2 linked regions of the Caenorhabditis elegans genome follow. The protein of the gene in region 2 purifies or fractionates together with the protein of the main gene of each other region. This does not show direct contact. Each region holds a gene or a part of one and is shown on either strand. Other genes may lie near its edges.

Region 1 (5,126 bases), on a different chromosome or scaffold from region 2:
AATCTCTAGTTTAACACTGTCCTCCGTACCCCACAATTATTCATTCATACTTTTCATCGAGCTTTTGTGTACAGGCTCTCTCACTTTGATTTTATTAATTATTTATATTTAATTACTACTGAATAGTTTTTGAATATTCTTCTTCTATTCGAATCAGGAAACTTTTGGAAACCGGTGCTAAGTCCCTTTGATGCTCCCGAGTGGACTTTGAAGGAGAAATTCGAGATATTAGAGCGTGAGCTTAAATGGGAACAAAGGCGAAGAACGACAGAGAAGCCATCATCCAAAGTGGTTTCGGTGGATCTACAGAGTCTGGAGAATGTTCGGATAGCAGCTTCTACTGCGACATCTTCGACAGCCACGGTGGCTCAGATGCACAAGAAGAGGAAGATTGCCTTCGAATTGGATCCGGTGCTAACAAGTCCCGCGTGGCAGGCCTATTAGGTAAGTTTTTTTTTTTTAATTTTTGTTATTTGCTTGTTTAAATTATTGCTCTTTTCAGGAAATTAATGACTAAATACATCCTCCCAACAGAAGGCACATTTCCAAGGATAACTTTTTTTTTTAATAAATTGTCATTTTTAAATTTATAAAATTGTACCAACTCATTCTAACATTTTTAGTATTTACAAAATCTGTATTCGAACTCGTTTCAGTTTACGAAAATTTAAGAAATTTAAAACAAATGGATGTCAAGCAATAATATCGGCCTAATAACTACGGTTTTTGGGGAAAATACCGAAGGAAATTTGAAAGCATCACGGGGATTTTAACATAAATAAAACACAGTTGGCTGGGAAATGATAGGGGAATGAGTAGGGCAATCAGTATAAATATGAAACAAAAGAAGACTAGACAACAAAGAATTTGTTAATCGAATGATCGGATTCCAAGGCACTATCAGAAATTTCACGATGACGGAGTTCTTGAAGATTCTCTCCGTTGTAGGAGACAATTGTCTTCAAGTAGATCGGCTTTTCAGTTGCAGTCACTTTCGCTTGAACACGTTCCAGCCACAACTTGTTCACATCTGAAAATCAGTTTTTAAATCAATTTTAATTCTGAATTCACAGAAAAATCTACTCACTGGACAAATCTCTCTGACAAGTGCTCAAACAATCAGTTCCAACAGATTGAGCATTTTTCAATGGAGAAAACTCTTCGTTCCTCGCCACCTCCCAAATGAAAAATCGCTTCGAGAGCTCGAAGACGTCGAAAATAAACTGCTCCAGCTTGATACCATTTGGTTTTTCCGGTTTGACAATGGTTCCCTGCTCATTCACATAGGAAATCTTCTTGTGAGCACGATGATATGGAAGACGAGATGATGGAGAGCAGACTCTGTATTTATTTTAAAATTAAGCTTTTTCTCCAAATTTGAAATTACAAACCTATCCATGAAATCCATCGTGAAAAAGTGATTTGCAATAGATCCTGCACCAAACAAATATTTTCCATCCGGTGTCTTTTGTTCAGCCAACTCGGCTCCAAGCTCCGAATATTCAACGACACGTGGTAGTCCTCTATCAAGACAAACTGATCCGACGAGTTCTCCTTTTTGCTTCGGAACACACTTGGTTGCAACGTCAGCTTCGTTTGAAATGGCGAATCCGATGAAATGAGGGTCGGCAACTTTGCACAGAATGTTGTCCACACAATACACATGGAAATATTTGATTCCTTTCGCGCGAAGACGTGGCAAATGAGCAGAGATGGCAGAGTAGAGACCTCCGTTGCCGTCTGAAAAAAAATATGATTTTTCGGTTTTTTGTGAGAAAATCGATAATTTTCTTTTTTTGAAATCCAGAAAAAAGTCTAGATTTTATGTTCTAAAAAAAGTTGAGTTTGATGAGAACACATTATCTTTAAAATATTGAAAATTCGATTTTTTTTTCGTTGAAAAACTCATTTTTTAAAATTTTTGTGTCGATTTACGCAGCTGGTGTACTCCCCGAGAAAGAATAATTATTTTTTTGTACGAAATTTTTAAGTATTCGGATAAAATACTTAATTTTAGATATTTTTTAAATTCAAATCGTCAACTAATTTATATTTTTAGTGTGTTTTGGGTGAAAATCCATGCAATTAATACTGCTTTCAATATTGACACCGAAAATACTTTAAATGTCATATAATTTTTCGTTTTGAAGATTAAAAAATAATCAAAAAGTCAGAATTATAGCTGAAAAATTCGTAAAAACAGTTTTCCTCGAGGAGTACACGAATTGCGTAAAAACTCATACTTGGAGCAGCAACAACAGATCCTTTAGTTCCGAGAAGGAAGTTTCCCTGCTCATCGTATGCAGCAATTTCATCTTGTGAGAAAATAGTAATTTGTTCATCGAAATCGAATCCATGATGAGCCGCCAGTTTCTTCACATGCTCACGAGTAGCCTCCTCTGTTCCAGGTGACGTCATAACTGCCCAGTGAATTTTTCCCGGATTCTGATGCTCCCGTTCTCCAGCGAGAGCCTGAAGAAGTGCAATTTTGGCAGCTTGAATTCCCAAAAGAGAATCTCCAAATGAAGCGTTAATTCCCAATGGAATCGTTCCTTTCGGTTGACTTGATCCAAGACGTGTAGCTTGTCCACCGGCGAGCACAATTGCACATACTTCTCCACGTCCAATAGCATCCATTCCCTTGTTCCAGAGACCATCGAGGATCTGAAAATAATGTAATTTTAATGATGGTTTTACCTAAATATTAAAAGTCTCTACCACTTGATGCAATTCAGCTTGTACAAAATGCTGAGAATCAAGAACCGGCTTAAGGTCTTCCGCAGTTGATGGAGCCCGTTGATCCGCTGAATCAATGAACCATTGATGAGCTTCCGAAAGGTTTAGAGTTGAAATTTGGTGGAAAAGCTTCGATTTTTCGGCATCCGAGAGCTCATTGTAAAAGTTGAGAAGTGGCTCAGAGCCCGGAAACTTTGAGATAATCTCGTCTTTTGGTGGAGCAGTGATGGTCATCGTACTGAAAATAATGATCAAAATTAAATAAACGATTCTCCGGTGGAAAACAATTCAAAAAGTGATAATACACGGCGCAAAGATAAGAAAATAATTATTCATAACGCTGTGTGTGGCAGCTTCTCTCTAATTACAGAAATGTTCATTTGGAAAATAGATAGACACAAAAAACTGCACTTATTTAACACGTTTCCTACTTTAAAACTCTAAAAACAAGGAGATGGAAAACAAGAAACACGACAAAATATTGATTGTTGGCTTAACGTTTTTAGAATGCAATAAAAACAGAGAATCTCTTGTTTCGCCGAAGAAAATGCGGAGAAATCCAATCTAAATGGAAAAAAAAAGTTTTTATTAAGAAAAATTCACTGAAAATGAAAAAAAATCTGCAAATTCTTCAAGAAAATGATGAAAAGATCACAAAACATATAAAAAAACATCTGAACATGGCGCCGCTGCCGCCATAAAAACTTAAAAGTACGCGAACACAGTGACGGAAAAATGCACAGAGTTCAATTCTCCCAATATATATATACCAGTGGATTTAAAAAGATTTTGAGTTTTTCGAGCACCGCAAGACTCAAACTTAATCTAAAAAATAACCAAAAAGACTAGCTTCCAATAGAAATGACGTATTGATTCAGCGACATTGAAAAAGTTGAAAATGAAAAAAATCCACCCATCGCAGGCGCTCTGCACTTCTACTGGTAGATCAAACAAAGAGGAGACTGATATCACTAGTGATCTTGATCCACGGCGGCAGCGGTCGTATTCTGATTTCCCTGCATTCTCTGCGTCTCTCACCGCGCTATATAAGGCGGCGAGAGAGCTCATTCGTGTTTTTCTGTCTCGTTTTTGTTTATTTGTTTATTTGTTTATTCTCGCGCGTTTTTCTTTAAAAAAGGTATTTAAAAAGATCACTGAAAAAACGTGCGAGGCTTGCGAAATGAGCGTGCGGTGGTTGCGAATTGGCACCGCCCACTGAAACCTTTTTTTTGTAAATCCTAAAAAATCTGCAATTTTGTCAGCAGCCAAGAAGCTTTTGCATTTTCCCTATAATTTTGTCGTTTATTTCACATTTTTGATTAGTTTTTGAACATTTTTAGTCGCTAATATGGTTGAAAAATGAACTTAAGTCTACAGAAAAGCGCGAAAAACTCCGAAATTAGGGTTTTTGTAATTATTTTGGCATAAAATTCGCCATAATTCAATCTTTCAGCGTTCTCTTTCATTTTCTACGTATACGTGCTTAAAACTGTTGAAAATTACTCCTTCTTTCCAGATGCCGGAAGAATACATCATGTCGTCGAAGGCATGCGTCTACGTCTTGGGCGGTGCGGCCAACACAGCCACCTTGTTTGATTTTGACGGCGTCTACATTCTCGATGGGGGATTCGCCGAAAAAAGCCCAGGATTCGTGGCTCACGTCAGGGACGTCTCTGCCGTGCTGCTCGCCGCGCCGACGCTTGGTAACCTCGGAACCACGTCTGCTCTGTTGGAACAGGTTTGTAGAAACTTTAATGAAAATTTTGATAATCTACTTTTTTCAGGGAAAACCGTTGCCGGTGTTCACCAACACGAAGCCGTTCAAGACTGCCAAGCCGGGAAGCAGTGGAGAGATTGCCAAAGCAATTCAAGAAGCGAACTCGAAGCTTCTCTCCGTTGCACCGCCACTGTTCAGCCCGAAATATCCGGCACACATCATATACCAGTCAGCTGCAAAAGGAGTTCTCTCCATGTATATTCTGGCTGGAGACGTCAAAGACTCCGAAGTGATCACAAAGGCGTTGGCAGGAGGAAACGAGGCAGAAGTGGAGAAGGCGGCCGCTGAGAATGGAACCATCGCCGTCCTGCTCTGGAGGCCTGCGATGACGGATCAATCGGCGGTCAGAGTGCTTATTTCGGGGACGAGCTCACTTGCGAGGATCCAACAATCGCTCGACAAGGCAGCGAAATCACTTCCATTCCTCAACGCGCCCACCGTGAAGTCGAAGGATGCGTTGTTGGATATTCCTGCTCCTGCCGTTCCACGACCTGTTGCCGGAAAACCATCTACTAGATCTGCATCTACAACCGGCGCCGCAAGAACTCGTCCAGCAATCCCTGCAGTCAGTGCCCCCAGAGCGTTGACTTCTCGTGCTCCAACAGGCCCAGCT
Region 2 (3,055 bases):
GAAAATTACTTTTTAAAAAGTTTTTTTCTAAATTACAACTTACTTTAAAAACTTTGCAATAAGTTGGCAAGCAAAGCTAGTCTCTTTATTTTCTTTGCAAATGGTGAAGTGACATTCCTTTGGAACTTTTTCATCCCATAGTTTTCGCTTCCGACTGCTCTTCGTATGACCATGAGATACCAGAATTCCATCTTCCTTCGTTTCGGTGATTAAAACTCCAGCATACCGCTCTCTAATGAAATGATGAATGCTTTTTCGATCTTCCTTGCTCAAATCGTCAACTTTTACAAGAACGGGATCTCCTTTCGTAGAGAATCGGTCATTTAATGCAGCTAATGTCTCTTCTGAGATGCAATCTGGCTTAGCAACACACTCTTCGATCTCAATGTCTTCTTTTTTGGACCCAGTACTTTCTAGGACAACATCTGGCGATGGAATGGCCAAAACTGTGTGGTCGGCTGAAAATAAAATTAATTCTAGTAACATTAATTGAGTTTGATTAAATAACCTAAAATTTCTTGAACGATGAAGTCACTGTACATTTCTTTCAGTAGGCAGGGCACAGGAGTGATTGTATGCTCACTGGCATACTCGGTCAATCCAAATTCGGTTTCCATCTAAACTTTATTCAATAAATACATGAAAGAAATCAGACCAAACGATAAAACAAATTATGCGTAAAAACCATATTACAAGACCCCATTAGCAGAATAATCAATGAATTAACGTGTGAAATTTAGAAGCGCTGAGTCATAAAATTGCAATCGTCCTGGAACCCGAATTGTGAGTAGAATGGGAGAAGTTCAGGAACACACTCGAGAGAAATTTTGTAAACTCCGAGAGACTTTCCAAGAGAAACAAGAGTCTTCAAAAGAACGGCTCCTAATTTTTGACGACGCATTTCAGTATCCACGACAACATCTTCAACCCTTCCGCGACTTCCTGCCCCGTGAATGAACTTCATTTCGACAACCAAACTGGCAGATGCAACAACTTTTTGAGAATTGGAATCTTCGATGACGACTATATGATAATTGGGGACCGAGGTCCTCATCGCCTCAAATCGCTTTTCAAATGCTTCCTGATCAAGATTTCCGACCGAAGTCAACTGACTCAGAAGATCAACATATCCTTTCGAGAAATCGTCTTTTGCCAAGGGACGAACTTTAAAATTGTCAGGAAGATTCGAAGGAATGTGTGGAGCTAACACAGACGCATCAAAAATGTGAGACATATTTTCTCTGAAGAAAAGTGATGACAAATCGTTCGAACGAATGAGAAAAACTTAGGAGGAATCTAGCGCAGCTTGCTAAATATTTGAAAAAATGAAAATTAAAATAAGGAGAGAAATTATAACTCGAACGATGCGGAGATTTGTTCCAAATCGACGCAAAAAATAAATAAATCAACGTTTAAAATTGTTCCTAGAACTAGGCCACGGCCACGCGTTCTCTCGGCCATGTACTCCTCTCGGACAAACATTTTAGAAACATTTTACATTGAACGACCTGTGAAATCAAAAGAAAACGTTTTACTTCTTTTTTTCTTTATTTTTTTTTCAAAACTCCAACTGCCCAGTATCTGCCATTGGTTTTTCTATTTACTTTCTCATCGCGCACTTACACACTTGCAGCTGCACTCGTTTGGCGTATTCTCTCCTCAGAAAAAGAAACTCTGCGTCGGCTCCTCCCTCGTCCAAAAATGTTTCCATTACTCATTTCCGCTCTTTTCTTCTTGTTTCCGTTTTTGACTTTATTTTTCTGTGTCCATTGATTTTTCTATACAATTATTCATTTCAGAATGTTAGATAGACTTTGGGAAGTGCGCCAAGCACTGCCCCTTTATCTGTTAGTATCTACGCTTGGACTTGCCATTTCATGTTGTTTTACTCTCATATGTCCTCACGTTTGTCGATTGATACCTGCACTAACTACATATGGAAAAGCTGCTGATCAACAAGAAGATAACTCTTTGGTAGAAAAAATATCTGTACCTAAAAAGTGAGTACAGTTAGTCTTTGGGAGTTCTATCCTTGTCTGAAATTTTTCAGATGGTTTAAGCATTTTTACGCAATCGGTCTTCTAACACTTTTTATATGTCTACACACTGTCCACTCGTTAATCTACAATCCTAATTATCTGCATCCAGTGGTTCTCAAGATTCTTGCCACGCTAACACGATCCTACAGTATACCACCAAGTAAGTTTTTCTTTTAAAAAAAAAGTGATTTTCTTTTTTTTTTTTTGATTAGTGGTTTTTGGAATATATGCGAAGTCGCGACGCAGTTGTATTAATTTCATTGTTTTCAATTTTCAGTAGAACTTAAACTTTTTATTTTCAGTCAAAAAGTGTCTATTACTCAATTTTGTAAAACAACAAAAATATTGTATTCTACAAATGTTATATTTTAATAATGTTTCAAATATTTTATGTAATCACTGTAGGGCTTCAAACATGTGGTGTTGCTTTAAATTTTTCAAAAACTTCAAACGTTTCGTAAATTTAAAAATAGATAAATACCATTTGGCAAATTACCAAAACTTTGACTCAAATTTTCAGAAATTAGAAATTTGATTAGAATATCATATTATACACTTTTAAGTTGAAATAAATATGTTTTCAGTTACCCCAAGCACATCAATCTTGGCTCTCCTGCTCATAAGCCTTCACGTAGCACGACGTCTCTATGAAACAATATTTGTCAGTGTTTACTCGGACAGTCGTATGAACTTGTTTCACTATGCAGTTGGGATAGTCCACTACATCATTCTGCCAATTTCAATTATGTGTGAAACACAGGGAGTTGCTTCCAAATGTAAGAAGATACTTATCTGAAATGTTCTAGTAATTTATTTTCACAGTACCTCAGCTTCACGTGTCAATTGATGATATTTCTCTCACCCAATGGGCTGGAGCTGTCCTTTTTTGGATTTGCAATTGGAAACAACATCAGCTAGCCGAACAAATAGCAAATACAAGAAAAGGTCCTAGAGGACTAATTCGCAATTACGCCTATGGTATCTGCTTTGGTGGTTGGTTCAATCTCGTCTCATGT

What was found.
Region 1: the proteins of gna-1 (region 2) and C36A4.4 fractionate together in Caenorhabditis elegans (co-fractionation; one large-scale study listed by BioGRID). This does not show direct contact.

The regions. Positions count from the first base shown.
Region 1 is NC_003281.10:3,840,641-3,845,766, forward strand, and holds C36A4.4 (putative UDP-N-acetylglucosamine pyrophosphorylase), read right to left. Parts: upstream 2,975-5,126; 5' UTR 2,971-2,974; coding exon 2,719-2,970; intron 2,665-2,718; coding exon 2,244-2,664; intron 1,741-2,243; coding exon 1,392-1,740; intron 1,342-1,391; coding exon 1,088-1,341; intron 1,031-1,087; coding exon 852-1,030; 3' UTR 606-851; downstream 1-605. Other genes in the region: C36A4.11 (uncharacterized protein), read left to right, coding at 246-444, 503-510; maph-1.3 (Microtubule-associated protein futsch), read left to right, coding at 4,253-4,474, 4,521-5,126.
Region 2 is NC_003283.11:10,318,918-10,321,972, forward strand, and holds gna-1 (Glucosamine 6-phosphate N-acetyltransferase), read right to left. Parts: upstream 1,235-3,055; coding exon 737-1,234; downstream 1-736. Other genes in the region: Putative pseudouridine synthase B0024.11, read right to left, coding at 44-458, 509-617; srdf-3 (Polyprenal reductase), read left to right, coding at 1,801-2,000, 2,051-2,199, 2,624-2,815, 2,862-3,055.